4 linked regions of the Drosophila melanogaster genome follow. The protein of the gene in region 4 interacts with the protein of the main gene of each other region in a pairwise test. Each region holds a gene or a part of one and is shown on either strand. Other genes may lie near its edges. The genes, in order: Mst33A, Ing3, CG4653 and Acox3.

The links.
Region 1: the proteins of Acox3 (region 4) and Mst33A interact in a two-hybrid assay, tested with the Drosophila melanogaster proteins (one large-scale study listed by BioGRID).
Region 2: the proteins of Acox3 (region 4) and Ing3 interact in a two-hybrid assay, tested with the Drosophila melanogaster proteins (one large-scale study listed by BioGRID).
Region 3: the proteins of Acox3 (region 4) and CG4653 interact in a two-hybrid assay, tested with the Drosophila melanogaster proteins (one large-scale study listed by BioGRID).

The regions. Positions count from the first base shown.
Region 1 is NT_033779.5:11,584,461-11,588,952, forward strand, and holds Mst33A (Mst33A), read right to left. Parts: upstream 2,374-4,492; 5' UTR 2,228-2,373; intron 2,169-2,227; exon of another isoform or gene 2,155-2,168; 5' UTR 2,144-2,154; coding exon 1,064-2,143; 3' UTR 973-1,063; downstream 1-972.
Region 2 is NC_004354.4:18,649,826-18,655,260, forward strand, and holds Ing3 (inhibitor of growth family, member 3), read right to left. Parts: upstream 3,267-5,435; 5' UTR 3,139-3,266; coding exon 3,039-3,138; intron 2,963-3,038; coding exon 1,002-2,962; 3' UTR 893-1,001; downstream 1-892. Other genes in the region: Hou (houki), read right to left, coding at 1-267, 328-445; CG6659 (uncharacterized protein), read right to left, coding at 4,161-4,365, 4,471-4,596, 4,722-4,915, 4,982-5,435.
Region 3 is NC_004354.4:16,701,648-16,706,144, reverse strand, and holds CG4653 (uncharacterized protein), read right to left. Parts: upstream 2,065-4,497; 5' UTR 2,058-2,064; coding exon 1,834-2,057; intron 1,531-1,833; coding exon 990-1,530; 3' UTR 867-989; downstream 1-866. Other genes in the region: CG9672 (uncharacterized protein), read left to right, coding at 1-153; CG9673 (uncharacterized protein), read left to right, coding at 2,283-2,515, 2,637-3,189; sphe (spheroide), read left to right, coding at 4,248-4,468.
Region 4 is NT_033779.5:6,443,880-6,449,667, forward strand, and holds Acox3 (Acyl-CoA oxidase 3), read right to left. Parts: upstream 3,984-5,788; 5' UTR 3,971-3,983; coding exon 3,728-3,970; intron 3,557-3,727; coding exon 3,422-3,556; intron 3,362-3,421; coding exon 2,871-3,361; intron 2,795-2,870; coding exon 2,317-2,794; intron 2,253-2,316; coding exon 1,982-2,252; intron 1,918-1,981; coding exon 1,763-1,917; intron 1,699-1,762; coding exon 1,408-1,698; intron 1,351-1,407; coding exon 1,240-1,350; 3' UTR 1,191-1,239; downstream 1-1,190.

The sequences.
Region 1 (4,492 bases), 5.1 Mb from region 4:
ATTTTTATATAAATCTGTTCAAATATTTTAAAAATTCTAAACCAATTTGTGCGCCCAAGTTTTTGTGCATCTATAAACTCCACTGCACGCTGACTTCCTGGCCCAATATGCCCAACACGATAGCTTTCACCATCCGCTGGGCGGAAGGTAGGGGGGGAGTGTAAATTATTCAGTAAATTGTTAAGTAAATAACACGAAGGGCGCACGTTAAAAAGCAACCGAAAGACAACAATAACAGCAGCCAGAACACAACAACGTGCACAGACATCAACACCGTCCAACTCCGACCCAACCTTGTCCTTGCGTCTAGGGCCGCCGTGGAAATTTACCTCTCATATATGGATATGGCGGTGGTGATAATGTTGGTGATTCCGGGTCTGATGATAATGATGATGATGATGTTCAGCAACTGAAGCCAAGGCGAATGATGACACGCCGAACAGTTCACGGCTCAGCGGAATTGCCGGCAGCAAATGTACAATAAAATAAACACCAAATGTGGAAAGCTAGCCCCGGGCTCTTCGAACGAAACGGAACGAAAACAAAGCCGGAAACGGAAGCAGCTATGAGAGTTCAGGGGGCTGGAACGACTCTGAACGCACTCTGAACCGAGTAAACAATGGCGAGAAATTTGTTAGCCCAGGAGCAGGAACCAATGCAGGAAAGTCGAGTGTAGACAAAGGCCCCATCGACTCATCTCGGTGTCCGTCCAGTCCACCCACAAATCGGCGATGATTGTGGCGGGTTGAGAGGAGATGGCAGTGGCAGAGCTACAAGTTGCACAAACAGATGAATAATTCCGTATAGGGAGAATTAAAACTTCAACCCGTTTCGACTGACTTAAGAAATACATTTAGGACAAATGCCACACCAAGCTTAGTGAAATTCGTGAAAAAAACTGAATCAAAATCAATTTAAGGGATTTCACGATTTGCGGTTTTGTAAACCGTAATAAAAATAACTTTCGAATTTCCTTCGCCTTTGACCTTGGTGTTTAATTGCGTGCTTACAATGCTTTTTATAGTTATGCAAATGTTTTGTACAATATTTGTAAAAGAAATAGTTATTTAAATATACTCTTGACTGTTCCAAGTGCTTTAGCAATGTATCCAAATTTGAACCAGGAGCCGTTTGCCTCCTCTAGGGAATTTGTACTTCCATTCCAAACTTCTAGCTGGCCATCTCGCTGAATATTGAAATTAGTTTCCGAAAAATCACTTTCTGAAATCTGGGTGAACTGTGAGGTTTTACGCTTCTTTTCGCGCTTGGGAGCGTCAACTCTGGATACTTTGGTGTTCTGGCGCCTTGGTCTGCTCACATTCCGATAGAGATCCCTTTCGGCAGGAGTCATTTTACGCCATAATGAGGCCTTTTCCACAATCATCAGACCGGGATTGGCTTGACCGGTTTTTCGCAGAAAGTTTTTGTAAGCCGAACCACTATAAATTATATTCTTTTTGCCAGCATTTTTGGCTGATTTTCTGGGAGTCACCAGAACTCGTGGTTTTGGTTTTAAACGCTTAATTGTCTTACGTATTTTTGGGGACGAGATCTTCTTCGCATACTTTTCAGATTTCATGGACGTACTGGCTTCATTAAATGCATTCTGTATTTTGGTTGTAATTGGATATACCGGATGCAGTGTAGCTGCATTTAAAATTTCGTCACGATTATGCACTTGATCACATAATTTTAGAACGTAGTTTTCAGGAGTATATTCTTGTTTTTGCTCAGCTGTCAGTTTATCCCACTCGACGATGGCCTGCTGAATACTTTCTCGGGGTACGGAACCATGAGCTATGGAGAAATCCTGGAGAAAGTTCACAAACGGTTTATTTCTCACCGACACTGATGCAATAGACATATCGCTGATTTCAGAATTAAGCTCTACCTTGCCATGTGCGTTGCTATTACTTGCCACAATATTTATTTCCGGTGTGGAATGGCCCTCGGCTAACGCACTGTAAAGCGATGAATTTGAATACCGCACCATTCGGGGTTTTTCAATAACATGAATATTTGTATTATTTCCCGAGTCCAACAACTGTTCAGTTCCTTGCATTATAATTTTCGAAAGTGTGCTCGTTACTTTTACATTTGTATTCGATTTTTTCGGTAAACGGCGTTTTGAAACGGGCGCCATTTTGAGGTTGCCTGAAGGAGGTTGCCTATAGAATGAAAAATGAAAAAAAAAAACAAATAGAAGTCGACAAATAAGGGTACATACTCTTGATTATCTATGCATTTAGTTTACTAGGTCCTATGTTAAATATGCTATCCAAGTGTTATATTTTCCTTGCAACAGCTGTGTTTAAAAAGTAAAAAATTTCGAAATACTTATTTACGTGAGCCTAGAAAGTGTGTGCTGTGTTCTATACTGATAGACTAATGGAGAAACGTAAACGCAGGGGCAACTGTGATCTCAGCCTGCTTCTTACAAATTTTAAACCGAATGAAAATACATCTTTTTGTGGTAAGTTTGCTGCTATAAATATTAAAGATTTATTTGCCGCACATCGAATAGAAGCACACAGAACCGTTTGGATCCATTCTGCACCCGCAGAGCTCCTCCAGATCTGGGCCAAAATCTGCGCCGCAGAGTGCTCAGACGCAAATGACATGCAAAATAAGCAGGACCAGAACCAGTGGAACCATTGAAACCATTGGAACCATGAGCAGGAGCAGGAGCAGGAGCAGCCGGGCCACTTACTGAGCCCCAGACATCCAGCAGATAGGGTTTATTAGGGCACCGAGACGGCATCCGTAATTTATGCGGGTTTCGAGTAAAAATGTTTGCATAAACTTTATGCAAAAATATGCTCTGGCCAACGCATGCTGGATTTCCATGGGTTGAGTGAGTGGTTCGCTTGGTGGCTGGGTAGTTGGCTATATGGGTGGCAAGGTCTCTGGGCAAAAAAACTCTTGGCCCAGGCACATTAACAGAAATTGATTTTCGATTTTTCCCCCACTCGCTCGTAGATTCTGCTCGGAAACAAAGTATGGAAAATGCTTTCTAGCTGAATTAGAAAATAAAGCAATTTGTTTTGCGCATTTTGTGTCGTTTCGGTTATCCTGCAAAAAGTTTGATTAGTTTGTTTTGCATTTGTTTTGGGCGTTGGGAGCGGATAATGTTATTAATGTTTCCTATAGAGTGCCCTGGAAGTTGATCGAACTCTGAGCACTGACCAAAAAAGGTTTGGCAACATAGTTGCCGAAAGTTTGGGTAAGGGTTTTAAAAAAAAAGTTTGCCATCATGTGTTTGCGGATTTTCCTCGAGAGTTGTTTTTTGTTTCACACTTTCAGGAACCGGTTTCAGTAAGCCTTTTCAGTCGAAACTTGTTTGTGGAAGCCAGGTTAGCTGGCCTCCACCTTATGACACTTTGCAGAAATGCACTTCGACCTCGCGTGGTTTGCTGAGGGTTCAAATGGAAGGGATTAAATGGTTAAATTGTACAAAAGGTTTCACAAAAAAAAACGTAATTATAAAATGTATTTTTTTATTAAAACAGCCGTTAACGGCCCTTAAATGCTTAAACTGATTGGTAACTGTACGAGAATTATCGCACCCTTGAGATAGGATTAATTATTAATTTATTCATTTTTAGTCTTACATGTACTTAAACATTTGTATGGGTCCATCTAACCCTTAAAAGTTCGGGCTAACTGAGAAATACATTGTAGAATAATTTAAGTTTAAGTAAAACATGTTTATACACTTCAAGTAAATAAAAATGGAAATATTATAGAAATATATGTTCCATTTCAAAATTTTTTTTTGTTATAAGAAAGGTTGAGCAATCAAAATTGATTGCCCCTCTCTGCAACAATGTGGGTCAAATCATTTTGGCAAGGTGCTAATTTGGTTTTTCACATCCCAAGATCAAAGAGAGCCTTCAAGTTTTGCCCACTTATTATAACAATCTCGATTTGCAGGCCCCCCACAGCCTTGACCACATTTCCCAGCCAAACTGACCGTGACCAGAAACAAATTGGCGTGCAAAGTGCTCGACAAATCAATTGCAATTACCCGGCAGTCTGCCATCGGGGAAATGGGGCCAACTTGTGCTGGCTGGGGGGGCGGCTGTTTGGGCCAAATGTAAAGCATTAAATAATTCCATTCGCTGCCTGTTATGCGCCGCAATGAGCCACGAGCTCAATCAGAAAGTTAGCCAAACAAATTGAAAACGAAAACACAAATGAGATACACTTTTGGCTGGGACTCGATGCTTTCGAACGACTTTGTTTCTGGCTTTGCATTTACTTTGCTTTTCCGCAGTCGAAAAGCGACAGGAACAACAGGATGGCGAAAAGTTGAAGGGAAAATCAGGCAACAATAATAACGGCAAGGGCTTACTTAATTTTCCCGCGGAGAGCGAAAGCAATTTCCGTTCGTTAAACCTACATTTCGAAATTAAATTTTTTACACTTGAGAAGCTCGCAGCTTCAAATATTTTCATTTTGCCTCAGACGCGGCGCAATTATGCGCCGTCAG
Region 2 (5,435 bases), on a different chromosome or scaffold from region 4:
GCTTGCTTTGGGCAAAGGACAGGGCCTCCTCCACCTTGCCGGCGCGTATCAGCTCGATGAGCTGCAGCTGCTGCAGGTGGAAGAACAGATAGCGATCGCTGCCGAGCAGCTCAGGATGCAGCTGGTTCACCAGCTGGGTGGCCTCCTCGATGCGGCCCGCCTGCACGGCTTCGCGGATGAGTATGCGCCCATCGAGGCTGCTCAGCTCCACGCTGGGCTCCAGATCCGCCTCGTGCTGGAACTTCTCGGCGGCCTCCTTGAAGCCCTCTGTGGATTAGCCCTTGATTAGCTGCTTGCTGTGGCTGCGGGCTGGTGACCCGGACTCACCTGTGACCAAGTAGTTCATGATCAGGCGATTCATGTCCGCCTGCTTGAAGGGAAACTGCTCCAGGCGCTGCAGCCACTCCTCCTTGATGATGGCCTCCGATTTCTCGTTGTAGCTCATTTTCTTGCTCTTGCGTATCTTGCCAATCTTGAGGCCGTTTTTCCAACCGATTTGCGTCGAATTCTGTTTACCTAATCGTCTTCCCGCTTTTCCTAGCCCTGTTTATGCGCTTTTATTGTTTACTAACTTGCAATGCACAAATGACGCTGGAAATTTTCTTTTCTTCTGTTCAGCGTGACCAGAGTGCTTTAGCAAGCGCAGCATGGTCACGCTGTTTGATTGCCAAGAGGGCGCGAATTTTGAAATCAAACTATCGAATGAACTATATTTTATTGTTTATTATTATTGTAGCGAAAACACCCTAAATTTGTTATTTAAGCTAGAAGCTGGCTTAAACTACTTTAGTTAAGATATATTAGTGCAATCCCAATCCACTATTCGCCTTTGCGTTCCGAACTGAATATAAAGAGCTGCTCTATTGCTGATCTAACTTTATTGAATACTTTGAATTTGTTTATTTGTCACTTTACAAGTATAAGAGCCGCTAGCGACGCGACCAGGTGCCTACGCCGCCGCCCCCGCCACGGAAGAGGGGCGCCAGCAGGCGCAGTCAGCCTCAGTTCTTTCGGTTGCCACGGCGCCGCATGGAGGCGGTGCACTTGGGGCAGTACCACTTGCCCTTGGGCGGCTGGGTGATGCCCACGCAGGGGTAGTGGAACCACTCGTAGGGACAGGCGTCGTTGTCGCAGGCCACCATGTCGCCGTAGGACACCTGGTTGCAGGTGCAGTAGCGCGGCTCGTTGGGATCGTACGACCATTCGCCCTCGTTCGTCTGCTCCACCACGAGTCCGTTCTCGCCGATGGTCAGGCTGGAGCCGGGCGTTACCGTGGTGGTGGGCAGGTTCATGGCAATCATTCCGGCGGGCACGCCCTCAGCGGAACTCTCCGCCAAGTTGCCTCCGCCTCCACCTCCGGGGGTCATGGCGAGCAGCGCCTGTCCACCCACAGACATGTAGGTTGTCGTGGCCGATGCCGCCGCCAGGGCCGCCGACGTGGTGAGCTTGTTCACCGATTCCAGACTAATCGACGACGACGAGCCAATCGAGTTGCCCGACGAGGAGCCGGCCGTCGGCTGCACTGTGGGCAACGTCAGCGCTGTGGTTAGCTTCTTCTTTTGCTTCTTCTCCTGGTGGTGGCTGCTGTGCCCGCCGCCGTGACCACTGCTGCTGTGGTGTCCGTGCCCATGACCATGCCCATGGCCATGACCATGTCCGTGCCCATGGCCGCCATGGTGCGACTGTGAGTGGTGCGAATGATGCGAGCCGGTGCTACTACCGCCAGCTGCGCCGGTGGCCAACGCTGTGCCGGCAGCCACTGTCACCGATCCAGCGGTCGACTGCTGCAGTCCACCCTGACCGGCTTGGGTCCAGAAGTCGGTGGTGGTGCCCGCTGTTCCGTGTATGGCCTCGTAACTCGCCTTGAGGCTGGCCGTGCGGCGGCCTTGCTGCATCTGCTGTGTGGCCACGATCGCCTGGCTGGCTGCCGCCGCAATGGCACTAGATGCGGCGGCTCCTCCGCCCAGTTGTTGCAGGTTGTAGGTGACTGTGGCCCCGGCGGCCGAGTGCCCACTGACATGGGCGTGCCCGTGGGCCGTACCAGCAGCGACCACGGACGTGGAGTTGCCGCCCGCTGCCGCTGCGGCGGTCGCTCCACCCGAGGTGCTTAGCACGGTGTGGGTAAGGTTCGTGGGCAGTTGGCGGACCAGCGAACCCGTTCCTGTGGCAAGCGAGCTGCTGGCAAGACTGCTACTGCCGCCGGCCACGCCCATGGCCACAGGCAGGGTGAGATGAGTGGCGGCGATGCTGCCAATGTGGTTGGAGACATGAGTTTGGGCAGTCGTCGCGCTGGCCAGGCTGGCGGCTGCTGCGGCCGTTGTGGCGGACGAAGATGAGGCTGCCGCGGCAGTCGTGGAGCCCGAACCGACCACGGGAAGTGAGTGATTCAGATTGGCGCGCTTCTCCTGAACAGGCACCGTGCATATGGTTTCCCGCCGCTTCTCCAGCTTGCGGTGGCGCTGACTTGAGCCCAACTGGGCGGTGGAGATGCTGGAGAGGGCACCGCCCGTTCCGGCAGCACCACTGACCAGTGCAATGCCGGAGGAGCCAGTGGCGGCACCCGTTGCGTGTCCCGTCGAGCTGTTCACCATGGTATTGGCCGAACTGGCGCCGTAGTAGCGGTTCTCCTTCTGGTTCATGCTCAGCAGCAGGGCGGTGGCTGCAGTGGAGTTGCCGTCCAGCTCCAGAGAGCGGCGCTCGAGGATTTCGGTGATGCCGTTGTTGTCCGCCTCCAGCTCGCACTTGAACTTGAAGAGCTCGCTATCCAGGCGGCGCAAGTAGCGCTCCACCAGCTCGTGTATCTGAGTGGCAATAGCCACCTTCTCGTCGGCGTCCTCCATCACCTTGAAGTACTCGCCGCGCAGGCTGTGGAACTCCGTGTCCATCGACTCGTGCTGCAGTTCGTCGCGCTTGCACTGCTTGAAGAACATGTGGGCCTTCTTGTCCAGCGAGTCCATGTTGTCTGTGCACCGCAAGGAGCAGTTATTGGTTAGTGATCCGGCGAAAAGCAGAGATTCGGATTCTCTGGTTGCACTTACTCTGGACGGCGAGATCTAGTTCGCGCATCTCGGTAAAGCGGTCGCGCAGCTCCTGCGGCAGGTGCTCGATCATCTCCAGATAGTCTTCGAGGTAAAGCATGATGGCGATGCGAATGGGCCGCGGTGTAAACCCAAAATTTTAACTACTTTGTGTGTTTATTAATGAAAATTCGTGTATTGTTGCGGGTATGTGTGTGACCGGATGGCGAAACGAAGTTAATCCCAGATGCGGATGGTAGTGCTCGATAATATCGATATTTAAGCAATCGACTCGAAACCGCGATACAAACTCAGGGTGGATAGCTGCGACACAAACCCTGTAAGGTGAAATTCGAAATTTAAATAAATTGTATAAATGGAAATCATAATTAATGATATTATTTATTTACATATTATAAGCTGTATTGTATAAAACTAAAAATGTGAATATATTTCAAAACAAATATATACTCACATTTTTACTGTTCAAAAGTTGTGAACAATAAGGAGTAAGCATTTTAAAGATATAAACAAACAACAGATGCCCATAGGATTGTTTCAAATATATCATTTTATTTCACTTATTGCCTGGCAAATGCGTGTTTACCCGCTTGTTTTTGGGTCTGGGATCGTGGCTCCCGGATGCACATCGTCCACATGCAGCCACTTTCGTTGCCACACGCGTCTCATCGTCATATGTATACTACATGCGTAAATGTAAAAAGCTTAGCTTAAACTTAACGAAAGTATTTAGAGTTAAGGTCGCTCCGTTCGGCTAGATTAACTTATTCGAATGCGAGGGCGCAGGCGCAGGTGCGGGTGCGGGGAATGATCCAAACAAGGTTTGAACGCAGCGGCGCGGAAACAAGTCAAGCTGCTAAATGCATCCAGTTTACTATCTAGCGGAAGGGGCCTCCTTCTAATCGCCAATCTGCCATATCAAATCAGCTACTACGCGGGATCGGGATTTGGGATTGGGTGCGAGATGTGTTCGGGCATCCGAGGTTGGGGCAATACTAAACGTAATCATAATACACACACATCGTAAAATGCTAAATCCTAGTCACACAGCTCACACAGCTACGTACAACACAACACGATTCCAGCATTCCATCATCGCGCCGCCTCCGTGGACGGCCAGCCCTATATGGACATCTCGGGCATCTTGTTGTGCTTGAGGTTGATCTGGACGCTCTGCGAGAACATCTTGATAATGCCGTAGTGGTCGTTGGCGAACACTTTCAGGAAGCTGGGCACGTTCTTGTGGAGCAGCTCGTGGCAGAACTGTGGGTATTTTTGGTAGGCCGGCTGCTTGTCATCCCAAATGGCCAGCAGATCGCAATCGTCGCTGTTGTAGAAAGCAGGCAAAAGTACATATTAATGCGATAAGAATACAATATCTCAATTAAGCGTTCAAGTGCCCGTCTCGAGGATTTTGTCTGCGTCTACTCACCGCACTTCGTTGGTGCACTCGTCCAGCGATATGATCAAGTACTGGATCTTCAGCTGGGCGCACTGGTTGTAGATATCCGACGACTGCTGACGACTGTACACCGAGTACACGTGCTCCGTGCGCTCCCTTAAAAAAGATAAACAAAGGCGGAAGTTTCAGTACGTGCATGGCCAGGATATGGATGCCAATGAGAGCGGGACAGAGCAGGGGCATAGTCGATAGGCTATCTCGCTCAGATTGGGAGAACTTACGCTATCTGACGCATCTCCAGGTGCGCATGGTTGACTATGGGCCGTTTGGTGGTCAAGTGCACGGTGCCGATGATGTCCACGGGGCCGGCAAAGACCGCATCTCGCTCTGTGTTCAGCTTGATCCACTCGAGCATGCTGTCCAGGTCGTCACCGCTCTTGGAGTAGCGCGTGGGGAAGTACTCTTCGCGAATGTTCTATTTTTGAGAGGGCGACGAAATCACAACAATTCCCGTGAGCAATAGAGGCGGTATCCAACTTACCACCATGCCCGGATCGAACATGCTGAGCAGGAAGACGGCCAGCGAGACCGACCAGAAGATGTTGCGCTGGCGATGGTACCACAGTTTGGAGCAGACGGTGGGTGCGATGACGCAGCCCTGCGTGAAGCTGAGGAAGAAGAGCTTGCGCACGGCGAGTCCGATAAGGGTGAAGACTAGCATCTGCAGGAAGCTGTACACGTAGTGCATGTTGAGGATCTGTGCGTTGGCCGTGGGCACCACGGAGCTGCGTCTGGAGGAGCTGCGCTTCCTCTGTCGATGGCCACTCGAGTTTGAGCCGCAGCCGGCGGCGGTGGCAGAGTGTTCCTCCTCCTCCTCTTCATTGTCCGCGGACCTGGACGGCGGCGTTTCAGTGGGATCTGCTGCAGACTCGGTCTCCGTTTCGCCACTACCTGGCTCCTGATTCTTCTTCTTCGATTCCGATTCTGCTTCCGGA
Region 3 (4,497 bases), on a different chromosome or scaffold from region 4:
TGCAGTGGGGACATTGGAGGACCGGCCGTCTACCAGGGCCAGCTGGTGGGTCTGGGTGCACAGATCCTTGGCGAGTGCGGCGGAATGCTGCCCGAACGATTCATTAGCATTGCGGCCAACTACGATTGGATCCAACAGCAGTTGCAGCAATAAACCAATGTCGATAGCAAAAGCATTCCAAAAGCTTCATTTTTTGTTTTTTTTTTTTTTAAGGGAAATTTAAGTTACCAATATTGTTTAAAAATAGTTCATTGATATTGTGATATCATGTTTATAACATGTATATTAACTAAATAAAACCTAGAGGTAGTTTTTAATTTTTTTTAAATGTTTCCTCTTTTAGTGGCTTTTTAATTGGTTTTATCCATTTAAATTTCTTTTCTTTTATTTTGTTTATTTATAGGAAAAGCGTACTACTACTATCATCTAGGCAGCTTAATCTAATGAGGTGAAAGTTAAACAAATATCGATAGACCATAAATATAGCCATTATTACTTTGAAATTCGAATTTTGTAGCATACTTATAGGAGCTTTATTAGAAATCTTATAAAACGTTAATGATTAAGACATAAATTAACAAGTGGATTCAATGATTGCTGAGTCAGATGTAAATATATACCCATATATAAGCTGGAATGCTGATAGCACTTAAAATATCAGAGAAAACAAAACCTTCTTTATCTTAAACGCACTCGAAGTAAAGTTTTTTAATAGAAAGAGAAGATTGTTGAGTGTAAATCAAAAACGGAAAACACTACTTTACCTGAACCACTTTAGGTGAAATAATATTTATAAAATCTGTTTCAGTTGTATTTGTATTAAAAAAGAAGTATACAACTGATATTTCGTATTCAGTAAGCAATTTATACGTTGTTTCCCCTTTTAATTAGTATGAAACAACATATACTATTTTAAGTCGGTCACGAAAGTAATTGTTAAAAAACAATGTTCTCATACAGCATTTCCCTAATCAACGTCTCGGTTTTATTTAAACAGCGTTTTCGTTAATCCACTCCAGATGCTGGGTCACATCCACGTAGCCATCGGGCTGCTCGGAACCACATCCGCTCACAAAGAAGGCGGCAATGCCCACCAATTGGTTGTTGTAAGACGCCGGAGCTCCGGCATCACCGGAACAGAGTCCGGCGAAGTCCTCGTCCACCGGGGACAAACAGAGCAGATCCTCCTGCTGCAGGTACAGCTCCGTTTGGCAATCGGACGCACTCAGGCTCTGTCTGGTGGCCACCTGGAGGACATGACTGAGAGATCCGTCCACCTGGCTGGATCCCCAGCCGGAGAAGATAATCTGGGAGCCCGCCGCCGGTCGCTCGGTGGCCAAATCAATCGGATTCGTATTCGCATTCAGGACCACCGACGTTTCCAGCTCCAGCAAGGCCAAGTCATTAGAGCCAACTGCATCCGAACTGGAGTAGTTCGTGTGGATTATGATCTTGGACAGAGGCACCAGTTGACCACCGGTCAGTCGCTGAATGCTGCCCACTCGCACATTGTAGGATTTAGCTGGGTAGCTAAATGGATGAATTGGGTAATGTATTCTGTTTCACACGGTTATCCTACACAGTGAAAAAGTTATATCAACTTGGCAGCCCTTTTGAATTACTTAAATGGTATTAACAGCTCAACTAAAATATATATTTATAGTGATTATACTTTGAATCATTCTCTATCTTTTAAAGTAAGTTTCTTTCAAAATGTGAAAATATTTATAAATAAATAAATAATGTCTTGAAAAGTAAACAATTAGCATCTAATTGAATTATGCTTAACTTAAGTTGATATGAACTTTTTCTCTCTGTGTAAAAACCATCTACCTCTGCTGTCCACCGCCCAAACTGACGCAATGGGCTGCGGTGAGGATCCACTTTTCACGGATCAAAGCTCCTCCGCACACATGGACGCCATTCCGACGCAGTGAGATGCTGTGTGGCTGGGAGCCCACCTCCGCCGGCAGTCGACTGGATTGGACCACGCCCAAGGTCACGATGACCACGAGCAGGAGTAGTCGACTGTGTGAATATGACTGAACCGGACTCATGGCTTGTGGGATCTCAACTGAAAGGTGCGCCTACCGGCCGGCGGACCTTTATAGAACACCCCGTTTACGACCATGGGTTAAGCAATCTAATCGCCACACGATTGTTACCCCCATAAATTCAAGTCGCTCTCCTTATCGCCATACAATGCCCATCGATTAGATCGCTAAGTGGCGGTGACCACCGATCGTTGGCTGATGGGCCCATTCAGTTGCCAATCCATCGCCATGGCTGATCCACGCATTACTCTCGGCCTCGGCCTGCTAATCTTTGGCCTGATCCTCTCCGCGGAAGCCTCGCCACAAGGTCGCATTCTTGGCGGCGAGGACGTTGCCCAGGGCGAGTACCCCTGGTCCGCATCCGTGAGATACAACAAGGCCCACGTCTGCTCCGGCGCCATCATCTCAACAAACCACATCCTGACCGCCGCCCACTGTGTGTCCAGCGTGGGCATCACCCCGTGAGTTCTAACTACACTTTATGATTATATACACTTGGATTCCCTAAGCACTTCACTTTGAGAACTTTAAGAATATATATTCATCTACCAGTTCTAATCCCTATTTGTTCTAAATCCCCAGAGTGGATGCCAGCACCTTGGCTGTTCGCCTGGGCACCATTAACCAGTACGCCGGCGGCAGCATTGTGAATGTAAAGAGCGTGATCATCCATCCATCGTACGGAAACTTCCTGCACGACATCGCCATACTGGAGCTGGACGAGACCCTGGTCTTTAGCGATCGCATCCAAGACATCGCACTGCCCCCCACAACTGATGAGGAGACGGAAGATGTGGACGCTGAGCTGCCCAACGGAACTCCGGTCTATGTGGCTGGATGGGGTGAACTTTCGGATGGTACTGCATCCTATAAACAGCAGAAGGCCAACTACAATACGCTGAGCCGATCCCTGTGCGAATGGGAAGCCGGATACGGCTACGAATCCGTCGTCTGCCTCTCGAGAGCCGAGGGCGAGGGCATCTGTCGTGGGGATGCCGGTGCGGCTGTCATCGATGACGACAAGGTGCTTCGCGGTTTGACCAGCTTCAACTTCGGACCCTGCGGCAGCAAGTATCCGGATGTGGCCACCCGTGTCTCCTACTACCTAACCTGGATCGAGGCCAATACCCAGTAAAACTTTTGGTTCGCCATCCAAGGACTACCCTTTATTTTTTTATACATTTTTTTCATGTGCATAAAGTGTGTTACTCCCTCTACAAAAAAAAACGTTTTGTGTTTTTAACTTTATATGGATGCAAACTATATGGAATTTAGTGCTGGTCATAAAGCTACAATCGATAGAATAACATTTAATTGGCGCCGTTCAAAGGTTCTTTAATTACTAAGAAATTACCTTGAAACCTGTTTCTAATTTATGGGATGCCGTCAAGGATTATCTAACAAAATTGCCAAGTAAATGGTCACAACAATTGGCTATTATTGTTTATGGAGTCATATATATTAGAGAGTATGGCTATTTAACAGAACATTTAGATAGAGATCGAAGGAAATCGCCGTAATCAACCTGGGAACCAAACTTTTGTGCAGCTAGCTTGATCAATCGCCAATGACTGGGCTAAATCTTTATAATCCAGATTTGTTATCGCCAAGCTAAAGGGTAATTCCTACTAAATACGTTGATAATTTGCTTACATTCAAGGCAATTTTATAGAGTTTAATTAACACCAAAATGTTTAGACATTTTATTGAAAGAGCAACTCAAAAAATCCAAAGTTTTCCACGACTGATTTTAGATTATTCTGAGACCTGAAGCACCCTAATTTCCGTAGCTCCCCTGAGTCATGTGTTACTCATCATTATCTCCTATAGATGGTTGTAGTTGTACTGTCACTGGACACTGGTCGTTTGGTTTATTTGGACTTCCCTTCAACCGACTTGTGCAATTTTCTATTTATGTGCCAATTAATCGGTGAACTAACAAGTAACAATAGTCTATAGCGGCATAAAGCCATTGCCATAAGGCGATAAGATTAGATTTTCTCTGATGCCCAAGCCGAAGATAAGGATTGGTCAAGGAAGTGGTGGAGAACTTCGGGTAGAAGGTGGAGGAGGTGGTAGTTATATGGAGCTAGTCTCTTATATTCTCGTCGCTGGCATTGCGCATTTTCATTCCAACTGCCGTGGGTAGCAGAACCACCAAATAAAAAACCAAAAAAAAAATACAGGAACAAAATGATGCAGCCGAGACTAGTGATTTTGGGTCTGATCGGATTGACGGCGGTGGGCATGTGCCACGCCCAGGGACGCATCATGGGAGGGGAGGACGCGGACGCCACAGCCACGACCTTCACCGCCTCCTTGCGGGTGGACAATGCCCATGTGTGCGGCGGTAGCATTCTCTCCCAGACCAAAATCCTGACCACCGCCCACTGTGTGCATCGCGATGGAAAGCTGTGAGTACCAAAGTCAATCTACTAATTAA
Region 4 (5,788 bases):
AAAGAAAAGTAGTTGGTTGTTTAAGGTTCCTGCGAATTCAAAAGTCCGTCTGCAATGTACTGGCTCTCAAATTGAATTGTTTGATTTGCCTCAGCAAGGAGTTTTAAGCATTGCGCCATATTGTACGGCAAGAACCGACGATAAAATTCTAGTTGCCCACCATAACATTCAGTCCGAAAGTGAAGAATTATTATCAACACCTTATATAGGAGAAATTAGTGAAGCGCCGAAGATTATTTGGGATCCGCTGAAACTATCAATATTAAATCATACTGAGGAATTTGAACGATTGAATAATGAAATTAAATTTATGAAAGAGAACCATCAAAAATTGAAAGATTTACATTTCCATCATATTTCCGGACATGCTGGATTAATTATTGCTTTAATACTAATGATAGTATTAATAATATATTTCATACGGAAATGTGCTGTGCAACAAAGAATGCAAGCAATAACCTTTGCAGGTCCGTTGCCAGTACTATAAATATCAATAGTAAATAAACAATAAAATAATATAACAAATAAAAATATACAGTCCACTATATCGTTGTTTAATAGAAAATGTACTTCTACATAGAAAAAGCAAAATGTTTAAAATAAGTTAATTGAGTACAAATTGTTGAATTAAAAATAATATAAACCATAATTGTAATCCAATAAAATTAAAAGCCAGAAAAACTAGGCCCATTGAAATCTTAGTTGCAAAATAAATGAACATATATCAAATAAATACAGTCCACTACTGTTATAAATGCAACTAATATACTAATGTACATCTCAGCTTGCTGGCCCTTTGGCAGAATGTTCACACATGAACACGAATATATTTAAAGACTTACAATTTTGGGCTCCGTTCATATCTTATGTAAATGAATCGAGAGCGATAAATTATATTTAGGATTTTGTTATCTAAGGCGACATGGGTGCATTGCTCAAAAACATGTAATTTAAGTGCACACTACATGAGTCAGTCACTTGAGATCGTTCCCCGCCTCCTAAAATAGTCCCTTAGTGGGAGACCACAGATAAGGTCCTCGCCGCTCAAGATAGGCAGATGTGCCCGAGCGTGGGACCTCGATAAGGCGGGGACTATTTACTTAGGCCTCTGCGTAGGCCATTTACTTTAAGATGCGATTCTCATGTCACCTATTTAAACCGAAGATATTTCCAAATAAAATCAGTTTCTTACAAAAACTCAACGAGTAAAGTCTTCTTATTTGGGATTTTACAGTGAGTCTACAATTTGGCGCGCTTAAGGTAATCCTTGTAGGTAACATCACGCCACCAATGAGGACGCTCGTAGACACCTGGAGTGGAGACAAGCGTGCGCTGCAGATGCTGGTAGACCTGCGAAAGGATAGAATCTTTAGTAAGAGTAGCAGTTGCTTATGGTAGACCACTTACGTTTCCATCGCTCATGCCCAGAGGAGAGTTTAGAATAAAGTCTGTGGGAGCAATGGCATCCACCAGAGCAATGGCTTCGTTCTTCAGCAGGGGAAGCAGAGCCAGAATGCCCTGTTCGTACAGCTCCAGTTGGTTAGAGTTTTCGCGGAAGTAACCACCGCGGTAGAAAGCAGCGGAGTACTTTGTGACCAAGTGGGCGCCATAGAAGGAGAGCACCTGCTGCAGTACCTTCTTCTCAGCAGAGTCGGGCAGACCAATTACAAACTTATAAAACACGTAGTAGATGGTGCGCTAAAAGAATATTAAACTTGGTTATTTTACTATTTAGTTGGGGTTTAGAGGGTTGGCATCTCACCTCGCCGTAGATAATGGAGAGCTTCTGGGCGGCAAAGACCTGGATGTTGTTCCTCGTCTCAAAGGCATCCTTTCCTTCGCGCTGCTGTTCCTCAACTCGTTTCACCGTCGTATCCAGTTGCCAGACGGTAAGCCAGTTGAGGGCATTAAGTAGATCTATAGAAGTGCAATAAAATTGCGTTATTCCTATCTTATATTTGGATAACTAAGAAATACTCACTGAGCGGATCCAAAACTTCGGCAGGAGTTCGCTCCTGACCCTTGCTTTGCAGAATTGTGTCCATATCCTTCAGGAAGGAGACTGTCTCCAATGGGGAAACTGCCACGAAGTCGGCATTGTTGCGTTGCAGACTGATCAACCAATTGGACGCTTGCTGGATGAGCGTGTTGTTCTCGCCCTCATAGGTGCAGTTGGCATCGTTGTCGTTGCGAAGTTCGCCCAAGCCAGAAGATTTAAGATAGCCATGACCGCCACAGGCCTCGCGGCATTCCTGAGATTAAAACAATATAACCGATAAGTAAAAGTGGTTATATACATATATAAAGCATTCATACCTGGATGCCATCCCTGGCAGCCCAAGTGGCAACTGGTTTGAGTGCCGATGAGATCGCATGGATCTCCATGCCCGCTTGCGACGTGTCCTCGCCAGTGAAGCCCTTCATGGTCAAATCCACGTTCTCTTTGCCTATCCAGAGTGTGGCCACCCGCAAGGCGATTGTGGTGGCCAAGTGGGGAATTAGTCGGTATTGCTGTGACTGATACTCGATCACGGGCCACTCCGCCGGGCTGTTGGTAGGGCCAAACTGGCGTCTGCTGGCCGCATAGCGAGTGGCAATTGTCACAGCCTTGCTCAAGGCCACATACGTGATAGCAGTGATATTGACGCGACCCACGGAGAGGGCACCCAAGGAGGCGCCAAGGCGCTTACGCTCGTCCTTAATTTTACTGGTGTAGTTTCCCTGCGCATCGATGTCACCGGTCTTGGACAGCAGATTTGCCTTAGGGATACGATACTGGTTGAACATCACAAATCTGCAATGCCAAACAAATCGAAATTATTTCTGTTGCTGTTGATTAGTTTTATCAACTGATAGAAGAAAGTACTTGCCCGTTATCAATGCCATTGAGACCGATCTTTTCGCCCATATCGCCGACGGTTACGCCGGGGAATGGAAGCAATGTACGCTCGTCCCGAATGGGAACAAGGAAGGCCTGCAGGCCCTGGTGCTTGTCATCCGGCACGTACAGCTGGGCGTAGACGATTGCGTGCGTGCAAGTCTTGCCTAGATTACCGACCCAACACTTGGCCGCCTCGAAGTCTGGCGTGTGGATGATAAACTCCTGCCTTTTCACATCGTAGGTGGCACGGGTGCGCATGCCGAGCGCGTTGGTGCCGTGAGAAATCTCAGTGAGAGCGTAGGCGCCCAAAATGCGGTTGTCCGCGATCTTGGCCACGTACTTGCCCAGGCGGCCAGATCCGTTGGAGACCAGCGTGCTGGGGAACATGCCAGTTGAAAGGCCGAACTTGACCGAAGTGCTGAAATCGTAGCTAAAGATGGCCTGTCCGAAAGCAAGCAGAAGATGTGGGGTTCCAAGATACTGAAAGAAAGACAGGAGATTTAGGCAGCCACACTTTCAGGAGTACGCAACGCATCCTACCTCGTTGACGCCGTAGAACTGTTGCTCCCACAGAAGATGCTGCCGCTTGTTGGCCATTTCGCGGGTGCGTTCCAAATCGGATCCTGGCTCCCGCTGGTAGTCGGGGTGCTGTTCCATCCATTGCCACACCTTGTGCTAAAGACGGAGTGACATGTAAACGAATTACTCAAGTGTGCAGATAAGAAACGGGCGACGATTAGACCGGGCGGTTGGCGGCCTGCAGCTCCGACAAAAGCTATCGAGGCAGTCTGCACTTCGACCCCGCTGACCATGTACATATGTAACAAACTGGAAATGGTAACGAACCTTCAGCCGTATGTGATCCTCGCCCTCGAGCACCACGTTCATGCGCTTGTAGCAGAAGCTAGCCCGCTCACGGTACTCTTCCAAAGGTCCGCTACGGAAGTCGGGAAAGATCCGTTTGTCATCGTAGATGTTGGCTGCAGCCTTCTCCTCCCGGCGGCCGCTGTAATAGTCGCCCAGTGCGGTTAGTAATGAGTTCAGACCGTTTTGGTCACCACCATCGCCATCGCCTACTCCGCTCGCCATTGCCCAGAGAACTGGCTCTTGTTGGAATGTTGGATTGGTGGACGTTGTGGTCGTCAGTCGAGGCGATGGGGCTGTGGGGCAGGGGTACTTACTTTGTGCTCAATGCAACCATGTTGGAGTTCGATTCTAGCGACTGGTCTGGCTGCTTCGAATGCTAGGCGCGAAATGCTTGAAAGTCCAGGCACTCGTAACTATTATTGGTAAAATAGCCAATGTCCAATGGCCAGCGGCGATAAGAAGGAATCCGCTTATCCGCACTTCATGGCCAAGTAGCCTTTTAGTGGTTTGCATCCGCCGCGGATAAGATACGGGCCCTAGGAGAATGCGGGATTAGGGCGGCCCGTGCAGGTGGTGGTGGGTGCTGCCTGCGAAATTCGAATCTTTTAGCGGCCACAAACATTGCTTTAATTTCCTATCAGCCATCAGCCAACAACAAGCGCGATAAACAAACAATTTTAACCCAGTTTTTCACCATTGAAGATAACATAGTTTGACGTGACTTAAGCCATGAGAAAGAACGGTGTTATATAAATACAAAATGTGAAGTTTTTTAAATTCTGTTAATTATTATATAATATAATTATTTAATTATTATACATAATATACATAAATTTCATGTTTAATTTTCTTTAATATCACAATTCAATGTTTTCACAAAATGTTTTAGCGGGGGCGTTGCCAGACCTTCTCAAGGTAGCCAGGGCTGGAATAGTAGGTCTGGCGCGTAATTTGAATATTCTTTCTATCAGAAACGAGTCATTTGCTGGTCTAATTTTATCTATTTTGTTATATAAAAACATTACAATATATATAAAAACATTACAATCCACATTTAAAATATGAAAAGAGCATCCATATCCATACCATACAATTTTCATGGATTCTAAATTTGATTTTAATTAAAACTGTTGAATAGTTTATTTTTTTCAAGAGCCCACAATAAAATGCGAATATGTACATGTAATTGATCTAATAGCATTTATTTGATTACGTTCTTAATACAACTTACACACTTAGTTAACATGCACTCATTTTTCCTTCGTTATTGGCTTGTCAGTTTATTCTTACAATACACGTCAGATTATTTATAAAACTAAATTGTAAACATCCGCATAGTAATTCGTTTTTAATACAATAAATAATAACCAAAAAAACACACTGAAGTTGCCTTTTTTGATTTTAAAAACACTTTGGAGATTGATTGATATTAGCAATTAAGGGCGTACAAATGACGGGGTAATTAGTGTGCAATCAAAAACGTTCTGCATTCGAATGTTTAAAATACAATTTTACATTTATAATTATAATCTGACGTCTAGCTATAACCTACGTGTGTATTTCGAGTTCAAATCTTACATTTCACTCTTTTGTATAAGTTCTGGCTAAAATCCTTGCAATAAGCCATTTCGGCAATTTGTTTATTAAACTAATTAGGTAACACGTAGTTATTGATTACAATTTCAATTTTTTCTATTTTCGTTTCAGTGGCTGCGCAATCGCAATAAGTTCCTTAATTGTTGCTAAAAAATGTTCCATTAGAAAAAGCTATAAAAATTACGTCGCTTTTACATATATATGTACGCATTAAAACTTCATTTATAGAGCTGCTTACGAAAAATTCAAATTGACGATTCAAATAAAACGTTGCGTGATATTTTGGTGTTGCTCATTTAAACCGCTGATATTTCTAATTTTCTTAAGATTATCAATAATATGAATGCTTGTATATATTGAATGAATATAATAAATTTAAAAGGAAATAAATGGCCTATTTGAGCTAAATACAATTTAAAATCAAACTAACATTCTGCTAAACAA